3 linked regions of the Drosophila melanogaster genome follow. The protein of the gene in region 2 interacts with the protein of the main gene of each other region in a pairwise test. Each region holds a gene or a part of one and is shown on either strand. Other genes may lie near its edges. The genes, in order: CG5681, CG10494 and CG32369.

What was found.
Region 1: the proteins of CG10494 (region 2) and CG5681 interact in a two-hybrid assay, tested with the Drosophila melanogaster proteins (one large-scale study listed by BioGRID).
Region 3: the proteins of CG10494 (region 2) and CG32369 interact in a two-hybrid assay, tested with the Drosophila melanogaster proteins (one large-scale study listed by BioGRID).

Annotation. Positions count from the first base shown.
Region 1 is NT_033779.5:17,984,360-17,989,836, reverse strand, and holds CG5681 (uncharacterized protein), read right to left. Parts: upstream 3,439-5,477; 5' UTR 3,373-3,438; intron 3,320-3,372; 5' UTR 3,310-3,319; coding exon 1,702-3,309; 3' UTR 1,218-1,701; downstream 1-1,217.
Region 2 is NT_033778.4:21,516,010-21,521,331, reverse strand, and holds CG10494 (uncharacterized protein), read left to right. Parts: upstream 1-2,206; 5' UTR 2,207-2,326; coding exon 2,327-2,402; exon of another isoform or gene 2,403-2,406; intron 2,407-2,461; coding exon 2,462-2,875; intron 2,876-2,934; coding exon 2,935-3,351; intron 3,352-3,410; coding exon 3,411-4,075; 3' UTR 4,076-4,177; downstream 4,178-5,322. Other genes in the region: CG30289 (uncharacterized protein), read left to right, coding at 1-154, 213-721; CG30288 (uncharacterized protein), read left to right, coding at 963-1,188, 1,251-1,293, 1,351-1,517, 1,585-1,997; MESK2 (misexpression suppressor of KSR 2), read right to left, coding at 4,999-5,322.
Region 3 is NT_037436.4:7,805,980-7,811,752, reverse strand, and holds the start of CG32369 (uncharacterized protein), read left to right. Parts: upstream 1-1,927; 5' UTR 1,928-2,756; intron 2,757-5,773.

The sequences.
Region 1 (5,477 bases), on a different chromosome or scaffold from region 2:
CTCATTAAATGTAAACATGACGTAATAGGAAAATATCAATATAAATATTTATACTGAAAATATGGTTGATTTTTATACCCTTGCAGAGGGCATATTGATTTCAGTGAGATGTTTCCCTTTCTAGTGTAGTGGATAAGGAAAGTGGATGTATAACATAATAAGCATATAAAAGTATATCAATGGACCAGATATTAATTAATCGAAATAATCGAAAAATAAATGAAAGTAAAGAGGTCTTTGTTGTTTTTAAAAAATGATTTTGTTTGTTATGCCACCAGTTTCCAACAAATCGTATCTTCGTATCTTATGAAACTTAATTTTTTTTAAAACTCCTGAGACCTCGAAAATCCCAGAGTCATCCATTAACCAAATTGTTGGGGTAATCAATTTTAATGTTCGACCTGACCGTAGGACCACAAAACGCTCAACTGTGTGCTCAAATGTGTGCGGCCTGTCAAAGGTTAAAGGCGTTTTGTTGTATTGCCAAATTTGCTCTTGACCAACGGCAATGGCGACAAAAGTGGGTGGACCCCTATGAAGACCACATTGTCAATCAGGAATTCCTTAAACACAGCAATGCTCCGCACCGTTTATCCCCTTCCTCAGCGATTCTCTGGTTTATTTGCCAAAGTCGAAATGGCAAACACTTGGTCTAGTCCTCCGAATTGGGTTTGTATTTGGGTTTGGGACTGCCCACCTGATCCAAGCCGGCTGCTGTGTCGAAATTTATGTATTGCAGTTGACTTATTGGGGTCACAACATCCCACTTCGGACCCCGACCTCACCGAACTGGGCTGATTCGCTTTGATTTGGCCAGAATGCCCCTCAGCTGGCCAACCGTGTGTGTCGAAGCTGCGTTTTGTATTCGGTTTTGGCCAGCTCCGGGGGAAGTACCCTGTTTAATGAGAGCTAATTATGTTTAATTATTCATTTGGGACGGTGACATTTTGGACTTGGAGAGAAGGACCTATTCTTTCTCAGCATGTGGCAGCAGAAGAAATACAAACAAATTCAATCAATTAGGTAAAACACTTGGAAAATATAATTTTTTTAAATTATATTTATTGAAGAATTATTTGTTGTGACGCATATATTGAATATTTGGTAGTTTTCATAATATTCATTTCATCCAAAAGAAAAATATAACGTTTAATAATATTAATCTTCTAAAATAATCTATGTATAACGAATTTTAAGAAATATTAGTGTTATAATTTACAATATTATAAAAGCATCATTATGGGGATTGTACAAAATTATAAATTTATAAAGAATATAAGCATATTGATTTCTACTTCCGTAACGGAATGGTCATTATATTATTTCATATTTTGCCCCGAGGTTTTGTTTTTGGTTATTATAGATTTCATATCATCAGTCGCAGATAAATCAAAAGAATTATCGAAATTTGTAACATCATGGCACACGTGGATTGTAATCATCGCTAAAGGTGTATCCGAAGTACAGGATTTTTTTTTCTGTCCCGGACTCAATTTCTATTTTAATGGTACTACTATTTTCATTTTTAGAAATACTCTTTGGTGGGCTTTCTGTACAGTTTTTCTCATTCACAGTGTTTCCAAATGTATAGTCTGGTAAAGCGTCGGGATTATCTTTTATAATTGTATCCCCTGCACCATGATTAGTTTTCATATTATTTTTAATAAATGGAGTTTTTTTTTTTAATGACTTGCGCTCAGATCAACATGGTCCTAAAATGTTTCTCATCTTTCCTTTGTTTTCGTTGAAGTCAAATGAAATATTCTTAAAAGGAGGACAGGAAACCAAGTCATTTTCACATTTTGACTTGGACATCCGTTCAGAGGATTCATTATGTTTCATCATTTTTTCTGGTGCAGCTTTCATACCTCCACTCGTGTATTGATCTAGACATTCCTTTAAATCAAACTCTAATGATTGGGTCCCATGTAAATCTTTCGGAAATTGGAATCGACGTTTAATGCTATTGGAATTTTGCTCTGAATTGAGTTTATGGCCACCTGATTCATTTTCTGTACTGATTTTAATAGGTTGTGTTCCAGATGTTTCATCTTCAGCTGCTACAGTGTTTTCTTTTCTCTCTAAATCAATACTAGAAATGGTTACCTTTTGTGCAGAATTTATAAAAAAATTTATATGAAGGGAATAATCCTGCCTATGGTTAATTTCATTGCTATCATTTGCATTCGATTCGATTTTATTTGTAATACTTTCGATCGAGTTAACTTGATCTGGAAATTTGTCAGCTAGGTGAATGTCACTTAATTTGCTAAGGTTCGATTGTTTTTCAGCTAATCCATTTTTAGTGCCACCGGTTTCATTTGCTTTATATTCAATCAGTTTGACTTTAATCTTTCTTATATCCATCAAATCGACCATCATCGGTTCTTTTTTGTTTGTATCTAGTGTAGGCAATTCGTTTTCCATACCTTTGATGTTATGTTTAGTGTGGTATTTATTTTTCGAAATATGTTTAGTAGGAGCGATCATTTTCGGAGAATTCCCAGTTCTTTGGTTGCTGGTTGGGTATTTGGCTGTCTCAGCTGTATTGTTTCCTTCTCCAAGTCTTTCCAAGAGCTCATCGATTTCTTTTCTAATACCATCAACTATTGTATCTGTCAAGACTTCAGAATTAAAGCTTATAAGCTTACTTAGCATATCAAGAACTTCATCTGTCAAGTTTTTTATTAAAGCACTGTCCTCTTCTGCTTTCAGCATAAATGCATTTAAGTCCGGTTCGCTATGATTCACAAGTTCCGCAAGGCCTTCACGTGCCTTTACCATATTACCATTCATTTCGGTCTGTCCCTCAGTTCCTATTGCGATTTGAGGTAGTGCTGTTTCCTTTTTGTTCAAATATTTTTGCGTCCAGAGAAGTATTTCTTGTTGAGAATTCACATAATACTGATCAAGGACGATTTTCTTTATTGATCCTTTTAGACCTGCAATATTCATCTGAATCCACTCCAAGGCGTCGGGCAATGTGAAGCTCATCAGGTGGCCGCTGTTTTTTATTTCTATGCACTTTGATTGGGTGGGCGTGTACGCGATAGTCAAAAAAATATCATTTTCGTCATTCCTGACATCAAAAGTTGTCTCGGCACTGTTGTCTTTCACCGTTTCTTTAACTTTTTCAATAGCCCTTTCCCAAAGCTTAATCTCGTTTTGTTCTTTTAAGTGGCTCTTTTCCATAATTTTCGCCCAGTCATCATAGTCCCTTTTCATATTTGCTATCTCGCTGTAGAGCTTCGAGACTTTATCTGCAGTGCTAGCACTTGACTCCTTTTCTGATTTCAAGGTTAGATTCATCTTATTCTGGCTGTAAAATACACTTTAAAATTCATTGGTATTGATATTTCTTACCAAATATACCTTTTTTTTCTCGAATTAAATATGTTCTGATAGGCTATAAATCTTGACTGAGCACTTCAACTTGCTTGTTAAACGTACAACTCAAATGCTTATCTGTTTGTTTTTTTTTTTTTGTATATGTTTGAAATTTGGAAAAAGGCCTACTTAACACTTATCGATAAGTATACAAACTTATCATCACGTATGAATTCCAATAGACAACTTGTGAAAAACTTCTGAACTTTAACATCTCCACCACGGTATCAGAAACTTGATAGTTTGCCCACCTTTAAATACGAGGTATGTTCCACAAGAACGCTCCAAAGTATGCGGCAACAATTCATCGCCAGAACAAGGCTTTTAATCAAGCCAAGGACTTAGCCTCGCTTACAGGCGAGTTTGTATGTAGCACATGAATGTTAACATCTTCCTGCACATATATGCGCTCTTCGGAGACAGAGGAAACATAATCACATGCGTAGCTGCCATTTCCGTTGCATATTTACAGGGGCCGTCTCCTTGGACCGCCCGATAATATATAACTGCGATTCGCAGGCTGTAAATTTTGACTTTCAATGAGAGCATGGAATTTGACATTTACTAATTGCCGGATTATACGGCTGAAGACCCTCGTGAAGATGCAAGGACTCGAAATGCATTCCTCAATCGAAAAACTCTCATTTGTGTAAACTGAATGGCAAACATCTCGCAAATGAAACGGGTTAAGCCGCTCTTCACTTTCCTGCCGAAGATAGTAGAGCCAGGAAACTCGACTTAGTTCTATTTCCGCTCGAGCGGAGGAAATACAGCATCTGTCATCGGCATATCGACGGCATTAATTAATCAACGTTATGCATGTCAATCAAGAAGTGTGCCAGCCATCTCTTTCTAATGCTCGCTGGCATTTTGCTCCTTTTTTCTTCCGACCAGAATATCACTTTCGCAAATTGAAGTTGCCTTTCCTGTTTCTCGATTTCTGTTGTTGCATGTGTGGCTGTTCATGGCAAGTCATGCATATTCATTGTTTACAGACGCACAAGCACCCACAAACATAAACAATCACTTGGCAATTTTACCTGATTTCTTTTCAAAAACATCGAACTCCACTCCACCCCAATTAGTTTCCAATTCTCTTTCCGGTTTATTTTCCATTGGATTTGGAATTGTTTGGGGGCGACGTATTTGGAAATCAGCTCAAATGCTCAAATATCTATTGCTTGCCATTTGTGCAATTAACCGAAAGTTTTTGAAAATGGAAAACTCGGAAATCAGAAAGTTTAAGATGGATTAATTCAATCTTATGGCAAGTATTTTGTGATTGATTTTTGAGTTTTGGCAAGACAGAACATTTTGAGTCATTCAAAACACTCACCATAATTTGAAACACCGTATAATTCTCCACAAGTATCAAAAGCTAACGCCTTTTTATTGGCAATTTGCCTACCACCAACAGATACACGTTCTCCTGCTTTCAATTTATATTTATTTATTACGTTGGACATTCATAAATTCGATGTTGTAGGGCCCATAACAATCATAATCTTCGATATAATTTCCACTTTATGGTTGCCCAGCTGCTAGGCGATAAAAATTTGCACATTGATATGCTTTTATGGTAGCAAACAATAAAATAAGGCAAGTAAACAAATAAACAATGTATGGAACATCAGAGAGCAATTTCAATGCAAAGAGCCTCAAGAAACACAAGCACATGCTAGGCATTCTTCCCATTTCCTTACTCGCTCGAATGCAAAAGCCTACAATGTGTTGACAGTCTATAGACAAAAGGTTGCTCGCAAAGGATGGCTAGAATAACTTGTAATTTGACAAAATCCATAAACCATAAATTCCTGGCCAAACCAGCACTTAAATTGCCACATCCGCCAAAGGAAATTCCTCCATTGTCTTTGTCAGTAGATTTGTGCCAAGTCCCGAAAAGAAAACTGTCTCGTAATCGCAGGCAATAAAAAAACAGAAACACATAAAATATTATCGAATACAGTAGAGCGAGTAGTTGGCAACCCTGGGAGCCGCATAAAAATCCCTCAAGACCATAAATCGCCATCAGCCAGAAACCATCACGACTATTAGGTTAAATCAACCCAAAGACACGAGCCGAAATCAGC
Region 2 (5,322 bases):
CTAGATCCCATGCCATACTGCCTTAACAATCACTGTATACCAAAGTTCTACAACATTAGTGTGGATATGAAAATTGTTCACGAAAATTATAATGGCATCACTCTCCAGAATGATATAGCATTGCTTCGTATGTCCGAAGCTGTGGAGTACTCAGGTAAATAGAGGGGTTTTATCTCACGTGGATGACTAAAGCTTTATGTTTTTCGTTATAGATTATGTTAGGCCAATTTGCCTTCTTGTCGGCGAGCAAATGCAAAGCATTCCAATGTTTACGGTTACCGGCTGGGGTGAAACAGAATATGGTCAATTCAGTCGGATCCTACTGAATGCCACTCTATATAACATGGATATATCATACTGTAACATTAAGTTCAACAAACAGGCTGATCGATCGCAGATATGTGCTGGCAGTCATACCAGTAACACCTGTAAGGGCGATTCTGGAGGCCCATTGAGCTCGAAATTTCATTATGGCAACAGGCTTCTGAGTTTCCAGTACGGCTTGGTCAGCTACGGATCCGAAAGGTGCGCGGCTAATGTGGCAGGTGTTTACACCAATGTATCGTACCACAGGGAATGGATATTTAATAAAATGGTTCAATTCAAACCTACAGGTCATACTACCTTTTGGTTATCCAAGCTCGTAGGCCAAACTTGTAACATAACAGACATAATAAGGAATATAGAACTAATGTATAACAGAATTGTATATGAAAATTAATTAATATTCGACAAAATGGCAGGGCAACGCATCGAAGTTCGAAATATATTAAAGTTCAAGAGATTTAATTAAAAAAAAAAAATCTTGTCATTAATTGAAAATAAACGATGTCACATTCAAATCGATTGTAAAAATTGTATTAGTATTTTTTCTGAATAAATCACTTCTTATCTCTGCCGTTTGCCGAAGAACAAGCATAAAAATAGAAACCGATGCCATTCGAATTTAGTCTCTGAACAAGATGCGTCTACCTATACGGCAGCTTGTGATAGTAGCCTGTCTTTTTATTGGGATTATCCGGACGGAATCCGGACGCTTACTGGAAAACGACTGTGGAACCACGAGCAGTAATGGTTATAGAGCGCGAATCGATGGAGGTAGAGATGCTGGCATGGAATCGAATCCCTGGATGGTCAGAGTAATGATTTCGGGAAAAGCAGTGTGTGGCGGTTCACTTATAACTGCTCGTAAGTATTTGGAATTGATAATAAGAAATATATACTCAAATTATCATTGTATGTTCATTTAGGATTTGTTTTGACCGCCGAGCATTGCATTTCCCCAATGTATATGTGAGTGCATACCATACTATTACTACACATTTGATCCTCAAAATGACCTTTTTTAAGGAATGTGCGCCTGGGCGAATACGATACCCGACATCCCATATTCGACTGCGATGATTTTGTCTGCACACCAAGGGCCTACAATGTGGACGTGGATAGGAAAATTGTTCATAGTAATCCAGGATATGATATTGGTCTGTTGCGAATGCAAAGGAGTGTGATATTCTCAAGTAAGTGCATTTCGCTATCAAAAGTTTCTTGGGAACTAAATATGTAACTAACTAAAGTTCGCCATAGACTATGTCAGACCAATCTGCTTGATTCTGGGCAAAACGTTGGGTGGGAACCCACTCTCAATATTACGCTTCAATTTCACCGGATGGGGTACAAATAGTGATGGAGAAGAGCAAGATAGGCTACAGACTGCCACCCTGCAACAATTACCTCAATGGAGTTGTGAAAGACCTGGAAGACCTCTCGATATATCCTATATATGTGCCGGCAGTTATATCAGTGATTCGTGCAAAGGCGATTCGGGAGGTCCTTTGAGCGCAATTCGTACATTTGAGGGGCAGGGAAGGGTCTTCCAGTTCGGTGTCGCTAGCCAAGGACTTCGGTTGTGCAGTGGCTTGGGAATTTACACCAATGTCACACACTTTACGGACTGGATATTGGATGTTATTCAAAACCATTCAGACGACTTTGAATGAGATCAAAATATGTTGCTTAATAACAATATAATGTTTTAGCGTATATATTTTGGCTATCAATATCATAGTTTCTTGTTGGTTTTGGTTTTTTTTTTCAGATTGTAGGCTATTTCTACATTTAACATACATATTCCTTACATGAAACATACATTCGAGCAGAATGTATGGTACGGCCGCATCGATGCCGATAACGATAGGTAGCTTAACGCGTCCTACTATCGATGACAGTTTTGTTATTGTTATGATTTGATCAAGCTAAAAAAAAACCGATCAAATATAAATATATATTTATTGATTTCATTGCGCGATTTAAGCATAACCATTTGAAAATGAGCAAGTTCTCGCTCTTCAATGGCAACGATGAGGACGAGCACGAAACGGAGCAGAAATACGCACACCTTATGAGTGGGTAAGCAGCGTCCTCAGCCGGTTCGATGTTACCAAATCCTTACTTTTCGTAACAGATCTGGGAAATGCGAGTCACTCGGTGTCGGAAAATAGTTCTGGGAAAGCGAGTCGCTGCAAGTGGACCAGCGCAAAGGTGGAGACCTTTCTGGAAATCATTCACCAACTTAAACTGCAAGCTGCTCTTCGAAGGCCGCGAAGCAATGCAAAGGTGTTTCGTATGGTGTCCAGAGAAATGGCCCGGCGGAACTGCCCCAAGAGTCCAAAGCATCTGAGAGTCAAGTTCCATCAGATGCGGCGTCAGTATGCGAGAGCTCGGAATGGCGGCGAACCATTCGAGCACTTTGAGGCGGTGCACGAGTTGATGCAGGGAGAAGATGTATCTGATCTGGATGAAGAGGCGCTAGAGAGTGACAGCGATATGGAGGCCGACGAGGACCAGTCCGGCATGATCTCAGAAACCGAAGGGGACGGTAGGTGCCACCGGGCAGGAATGTATTGGAATACGAACTTAGGCGACTTTCCTTCGCAGATGCTTTGGATGCCTCAGGATCTTCAGTTAACATCGTCGCCCGCTGCAAGTGGGCAGAGGGCGAAGTGGACCTCCTCCTAGACCTGATCCACACACTTGGACTGCGAGCAGCTTTGCTGCAAAAGCGCAATGCCAAGGTCTTCAAGCTGCTGTCCAAGGAGATGGCAAAACGCAACTGCCACAAGGGTGCTGAGAAGCTGCGCATCAAGTTCCAGCAGCTGCGGCGATTGTACAACAAGGTCAAGAACGGCACGGGGAAAACGTTCGAGCATTTTGAGGCGATGCGACTGGTCCTGGATCCCACCGAAGAGGAGGCGGCCGCAGATGCTGAAGCGGAAGCCCATCTGAGCAGCGCAAGCGATAGTGATTTCAATGACAGTGACGAGGAAGAGGGTGATGCATCACAGAGAAGCGGAGGTAGATATTATAATAGCTAGTTCCTATTCCATATTTAATTAAATTCCTATGTTCCTTAGCGCACTTTTGGACAGACGAAGAGGTTGATTCGTTTCTACTCATCATTCGGGACAATGGTTTCTTTCGCGCCTTGGATGGCTCAAGGAAGCGCAACTTCCAGACCCTGGTGCACATTTCCAACATCCTGGCTAAGCAGGACATCAAACGCACGCCACACCAGCTGCGCAATAAACTAAGGCTGCTCTGCAAGCGTCATCGAGAGGCCAAGGAGCACGGGCTAGATAATGTACGCATTCTGCCTCGCCACTTTGAGCTTTTCGATGAACTGATTCAGGCGCCGCGGGAGAACAGAGAAAGTGCCATCAGCAGGCTCATTCGCATCAGCAAGCCTTCCTTTCTCAAGCCGCCAGGCAAACCAAGCGTTCCGCTGGAAAGTGACAGCGACAACTCCAGCTCCACCTGCGATCTCCTAAGAGCGGCAGCCGATAGCGAGGACTACGTGGACGCCATCGAGATGGAGGCTGAACCAACGCCGATTGAAGCACTCACTGCAATCATAGAAGGTCAAAAGCAGCTGCTTGCGCAGATCAAAACTACCAACGAAAGCTTCTTGCGGCAGCAACGCGAGCAGCAGCATCAATTTTTGGAACAAGTATCGGAACTGATGCATCGAGATCGAGAGGAGACCCTGCGCAGGATCAGCGAAATGCTGCAACCGAAGTAATGGAAACATAGAACTCAAGCTTCTAAAACTTTTATTGAATTGAATTCGAAGTTATTGCAAAAAGTTGTCATTATTTATATATATTATATGTATGTATTCTATATTCAATATCGTGTGTGTGTGTGTATCCTGTTTTTGTGACAGTGTCCTGTGTCTAGAATTTATTCCTCATTCATTGTGAACAGAATGTTGGTTTGAAGTTACTCGCAATTCGCAATTGTCTACGATTTATCTAGGGTTTTGTATAAGTATATACGTAATTTTGAGAGATTTTTCGTTTTTTATTTGATATGCTACATTGTTATTTTTTGGGATTAAGTTAACAGTTGGATTCGTTTTAGGTTTTAACATTAAGCGAAAATGCTCGTTAGTTTTTAGTTTTTGTTCTGCTTGTGTCATCTGTATACACATATGTATATATTTTGTATATTGTTCGGTTTACAACAACTAAGCAAGCTCGTCATAAAATATGTGTTGCACTCCAAAAAAAAAAACAATGTAATCAATTGGGCATAGAAAACTAAACTGCTGTTGCTGATCTGAACCGATCTGGCTTGATATATATACGTGTATGTTCGTTACGTTACGCTCAGGCACAAAGTGTAAATTACAAATATCTCTCCGCATCTCGAAAACCATAGGGAAACACAATCAATCAATCAACCAATCAATCAATCAATCAATCAATGGGTTCTCATTTGGTGGTTAATTATTGCATTCGCATTCATTTCCTAGCGGTGTGTGAGTTGCTTGTATTTCATAATATTTTTTATTCTTTGAGTTTCTGTGGCTTTGTGTCTCTTGGAGCACGGCTGAAAGCTTGGCTTGACTTGGCTGCTGCTGCTGCATTATTTTTTCTCAGTGTGTGGTAACAACAATAACAAGGTGTCTTTTGGAGATTATGTGGACTCTGCAGTAACAATCTAAGAGCTGACCGGCTCGGGCAGTGGGTTCTCTGTGATGCGTATCTTGTTGCTCTGGGTGCCGTAGTAAAGCGTGCCCGATGTGTCCGTGGTCACGTAGGCTCGGTTGCCATTACCGGTTCCTGTTCCGTTGCCGCCGGCACATCCGTTTCCGTTCTCCAGATCCTGGTCGTCCCCGTCGACGCTGCGACCATCCGCATTATTATTGTCCCCCTGGCCGGCGGTGGTGTTGGAGTTGCTGCTGGTGCAATTGATGGCCGTCTCCCGAAGGCGATTGCCAACGCGAAGGCTCAGCTGCCGCTGGCGATCCCGCTCCCTTTCCCG
Region 3 (5,773 bases), on a different chromosome or scaffold from region 2:
AGGTCAAGTTGATTGCATAATTGGTGAGTGGAGAGAGGATCTGAAAATGGTAACTGGATATGAGATAAGCTGTTAAAACTGTTGGGTGCAGTTGACATGTCGCTAAATAAAGCTGCCGGAAACTCAAGAACTGAAATGACGAACTTCAAGTTCGGATAAAATGCGCATTCTAAAACAATGTATACCATTCAACATTTAATCTGTGGAAAAACTTCCATGGATTCCAATCATAAGACAAATTCTCACTTCCACTTGGCAACAAACGAAACTCGCCCGACTTCAATTAACATTCACTAAAACAACGAAAAAAAATAAATAATTTGTTTGTCAGCTTCACACACCTATTTCAAATTCAGCTGAACCAAAGCCCAAATCGGTGATATACACTATTATGCAAAAAACATAATAAAGCAAAAAAAAAAAACTGAAACTAATTTCCTCATATATTGCTTACAAAATAAACATTTCAAACATGAAACTCGCAGCTAATTTCCGTTGATGAACAACAAAAGCAGCGCCAACTATTTGAGAAATGGGAGCTGTATAACCGGTACACAGTCAAAATTTAATTATATAATTGTACATGGTATTAAAATATATGGTACTACTAAAATAACGTTAATTGCTAAACAATTAAAGATTATTGAGATTCTACAACTCAGAAATTTGAAAATATATATTAGAATAAATTTTGTTAATTTTAATATGTTTTAATCTGTAAACTTTCAAGCTTTGTTTTTTTTTTGAATGCAGGCTTAAACCAGACCCAGACCTGAGGCAAAGCAATTCGATTACTTCCCTATGGGGAAATGTTGCAATAAATGCGAGCAATGCTCAAACATAAGCGGACTCCACTCGCCCGCCCCGCATATTTTTATACTGTCCAAGACTTACGAAAGCGAAAAATGAGTTAACAACAACGGCCACTCAAAATGTTAATGGAAACGCAGCAGCAGCAGCAGCAGCAGCAGCATGAAAACTGGTAGTATGCAGGCAACCGCTAACAGACAACGTTGAACTTGAGCTTGAAATACAAGCCAAGCGGAGCCAAAAGAGAAAGACGGGAAGTAGGGGGAGGGGAAGCGATACGCGGTTGTTATAAGCCAAGTTTGTCGACAACTGCATTTGTTGATCAACCCAAATGAGGTCAACGCGTCGTATACGTAATTTGCGTTAAATGACAAAACAATATGTAATAGCCACACAACACTTACGAAACGCAGATATTCGATATTACAGACGAACTTTAACAACTCTGAGCTCTATCGGGATAGGAAATCTATAGCTTCAAAACCTGTTTAAGGATTATAAAATTAATACATCTTGTAATGACATGTCTGAGAATTAATCAACTTATATTTTCACAGTTTAATCTATTGTGTATTTTGTTATACAAATTTCGTTATTAATTTTATAAGTTATTTGAGTAAGCTTTTATTCTATTTTACATAATCTAAAAACTATATTTGCGTATTAAACAAAATTACAAAATTTTATATATGTAATTTAGTTTAAGTAACAGAAAATCGACCGTATCTGTTGTGATTATTGATGTTTGCTTGGTGTTTATATGGCTGTAGTCTGTTGAGTGGCGCCGGAAATGCGCATCATACGATAAATGACGCCCACTGGCAAACTAGCACCCCCAACACCACCCACTATCCCCCAACCCAATAGTTTTGCAAATCACCCACCGCAGCCCCCGCTGCCCCATCATTTTTCTTGGCGTCGCCTGTTGTGACAGTTGACGGTTTGCCGGCAAAAATTAAAAAAAAAAATAAAATGCCAGAGAGAGAAGTGCTAAACAAAGAGAGCTCAAGGCACAGACATCGATGACGCAACAGACACATCCACGGAGGCGTAAGAGAGTCGACCCCAAAAGAGAGCGCCAATTTTTCGCTCCAAGCCAACGACTGACTTTTCACAGCAGTCATTCGCTGTTGAACAGCGGCCGTGGCAAGTTCAGACAGCAGGGAGAGTTTGAAAAAAAAAACCAGGCCGTAATACAAATACAAAAAGCAAAATAATAAAAATTATACAAAAAAAAAGTATGAATAATAAAAAAGGCAAATAAAAAAGCAACAAAGTGGAGCGCACCCCATAAGCAAATCATCGCCGAGCCACTCGAACACGTTGCCGCCGTTGCTGCTGTTGTCGCTATTTCTTTCGCCCAGTGCGTTCGCTCTCTCTCTTTCTGTCTCGTCGCGTAACGTAAGCGTATTACAAAACAAACGCCAACGTAATCAAAGAAATAAATAAAATAAAATAAAGGTGCTCGCTCGCGTGTTTCTCGGTGTGAATAAATGAAATAAATAAATTAGTCACAAAATATAAAAAGGGGGTCCAAGTGCAGCCCCCCCCAAATTGCCGCACACCCTTTACGAGAAAGAAAGAAAAAAAGTTAACCCGTGTGTGCGGCGGGGTTACGTAAAGCCGACGGACAAGCGCCGTTCCAAGTTCTTACAAAACAAAAAAAAAAATATATATAAATATCAAACAACACATAACACGAGTGAATAGATTCCCCAATTCGATTTTTTCGCACGCGTGTGGCTATAAATTTTTGGCAAACAAAAATATATACAACTAAATACAACAACAAAATTTTAAATAAATTGCAAGAAGAAGAGGGAGAATTTCGTGTGTTAGTGTGTGTGTCTGTGTGTGATTCTTGAGCAACAGTACACGCCGCACCCCCCGCGAAAAACCTACCCTTTTTTGGGGAAAAACAAGGAGGCGCGGTTCAACAGCGACAGGTAATTCCATTTCTGCGCTCTCTTTGCCACTCTTTCGGGTTCTCTTTGTGTGTGTTACGACATCAAACCACATGCTATGCCTCTGTTTTCAATGTGAATGAACGCTCGACAAAGTTGCGTTTTCAAAGATTGGCACATTCAAGTCTCTCTCTTAGTTTTTCGCTCTTTGTCGGGGAAAACAGTTTTTCATTTGCTATCTGCAATGATTGTGAAAACAAAAAGTGCACTGCTTGAGTCTAGCGGAGGGAAAACTGCAGGGGCGGCTCTTACGTGTTGCCATATTTTTAAAGGCATTACTAAGCGTTTTTTCCGCGCTGCTTTGTTGACGTTCTGTGGCCAATTGAATTCGGCCTGCACTTGATAATCATTTATATTTAATGTGTGATAAAACTTCCGTGGAAAAATATATATCTTAACGATTTCGCGATAAATTAGCTCAGATAAGCAAAAAACAAATGGTGGAAAGAACGATTTGGGAATTTTAAAAGAAGTAAAATTAAGAAAATAAACAATTCAACCTCGTTAAATTATAGTTGACACAAATTTTATATACAAAGTTAAAGTATATAAAATATAACTGGTAAAAAAAAACGTCAGTTTTTTTCATTTTCATTTCATTCATTTTCCTTGAATCTGTCGCGTTGTCATCGCTTTCGTAATTCTCTGGTTAACAGTTTCCAATCCCCGATAATCTACTAAAGATTCGCCAATTTGTCGGGGTCACCACCCAATATTCGTCAGCTACCAAAGCGAGAAACTGGGCTCCTTCCCTCTCCCCCCCTCGACCGCATATGCCCCTCTCACTCGGTTGACGTTTAGCGTTACGACACGCAATGTACTACGAGTATTATGCGACGTTTGCTGCCAATGAACAAGCCGCAACAACACAGTTCGCCCACTTGGCCCAAAACGAAAAACGCCAAAGGGGTTGGGGAAATGCTGAAAAAATATGGTTAGCTCGAAAAGAGGAAAAACCTATTTGCATACGTCATCGGGCGAAAAAGGTTCGTCATGACTCAGAGTCGAATATCGAGGAAGCCAGACTTCAAACAGCTGGATCGTTGTTATATAAACCAAGTCAAACACTACACCGAACTTATGTAAGGCCCAAAGGGACCGGGCCAATTAGTCACAGCGAATGTGGGGGTTCTTGTGTAATCGGTGTGAAATCAAAACCGAAAACCTGAAAAATCACAAACTATGTAGAAATTTTTGGTTGCTAATTGGCTTGCCTCAATAAATTCTTCAGCCCAGTTTCTTTTGTAGTTATTTTGAGCTATTTATATCAGCGTTTATCGCCGTCGTCATTGTCGTCCATTCGAATACAATGTCATAAAACGTGTGAGCCAAGCAAAAAACGGCAAGACAAATGAGAAACCAATAAAACAAATATCAAAGAAGAAATCAAAATGTACAAAACCAAATAAACGCCAACATTAAGGCAATGAAAATGTATGCGATTTCATAATTACGTCGAAAACTACCATCGGAGCATAATCACTTGGTTATGCAATTTATTGGCTTATGTGGCGTGATTACTTGGCGATTAAAGAACTCTATCAGAAGTTCTTGGGATTTTAGGAAATTGGTGAAAGACTTAAACAACTTTGTAGGAATTTCCACACCTGAGCTGTTGCTCATATCGTATTTGGGTACATGAATGTTCATGAAGATGAATCATTTGTTGACTCATTTTCATAAGATAGCAATTTCATAGTTGATACAGAACAACTGTCGTTTTCAATCAGTTCTTTACAAGCAAGCAAATAGTAATTATTTCAACAATCGCTCAATGAGTTTATCACATTTAGTGCTGTAAGTTCCTTTATCGACTTCAATCACTGCGCGCCTACAATCACTTATCGGACTTAAGGCAAACAATGCCTGAATTCAGTTGACTTAGAATACTGACAAACGCCGTTGTAAATGTAGCTATATACACATATTATATGTCAACGCTGCCATTTTGTCTGAGTGACGACGGACAACGGTTGTTTGTATCTACGATTGACATTGCATAATATTGTGAAAAATAAAGCAATCTACGCTATAAGCTATTGCCCTGAGGGCGTGTTCAGGTAGCCGGGCTTCACATATTTGTTATTCACTTAGGAACAATTTATCGGATACGGATTATGCAATAGGACTTTACGTACACGGAACTGCAACCACGATTGCACCAGGATGCACGTGCAGTTATATGAGGCGTATACATAATTTTTACTTACGCAAAGCCGAGCGGCAACAGGAACAATTAGAATCGAGTGCCTTCTGGCTTGTTTACCAACTTTTCCCTTGTCCAATACAATGTTTCACAATGCCAGCTGATATGAAAGTTGGAGCTCCCTATCTCAATCTCGTTCGTTACCTCTCTATTTATATATACTGCTTATATGGTTTCGTTTCCGAGGCGGAGATTGCGCTGTTTTGCTTAAAATGATCAGAAAGTGAGTTCTCTCGAGTGCTACAATATCGATATCAGTAAATTGCTTTCGAAAGGGAAATTTCTGCAGGGCGAATTCGTGAATTTCAAGTACAATATACAGGGAACTTAAATGTGAGTGAGGACTTAAGGTCACGTCGTGATCAGCTCCAACTGACTGAAACATTAAGTAGATATTATCCAATTAATTTCTATATTTTTGAGTTTCATGCTGACGATTTATTGACCCTCATAATAATCCCACTTTATTTCAAATTTTCTATCTCTTATCTTCTATTGCCAGTAACTCGTTCGTTTGAAAGTGTATTATCTGTCTAATCTAACCAAAAAAAAAAAAAAAGAAATAATACCTACCCAGATCTTATGTAACCTGCAGCCGAAATTCTATTCCGAATATAACATGCGTGTTTAATTTTCATTATATTTTTTGGGTCGCCAACTCGATCAGAAAGTCTCATGTAGATCGTATATCTGCGGACATATAAACACACCCTTGATAAATTCATTTTCTTGGCTAACTACCAACTTATAAGATATTTCAGCATTACTTAACAACGAGATTTATGCAAAAGCA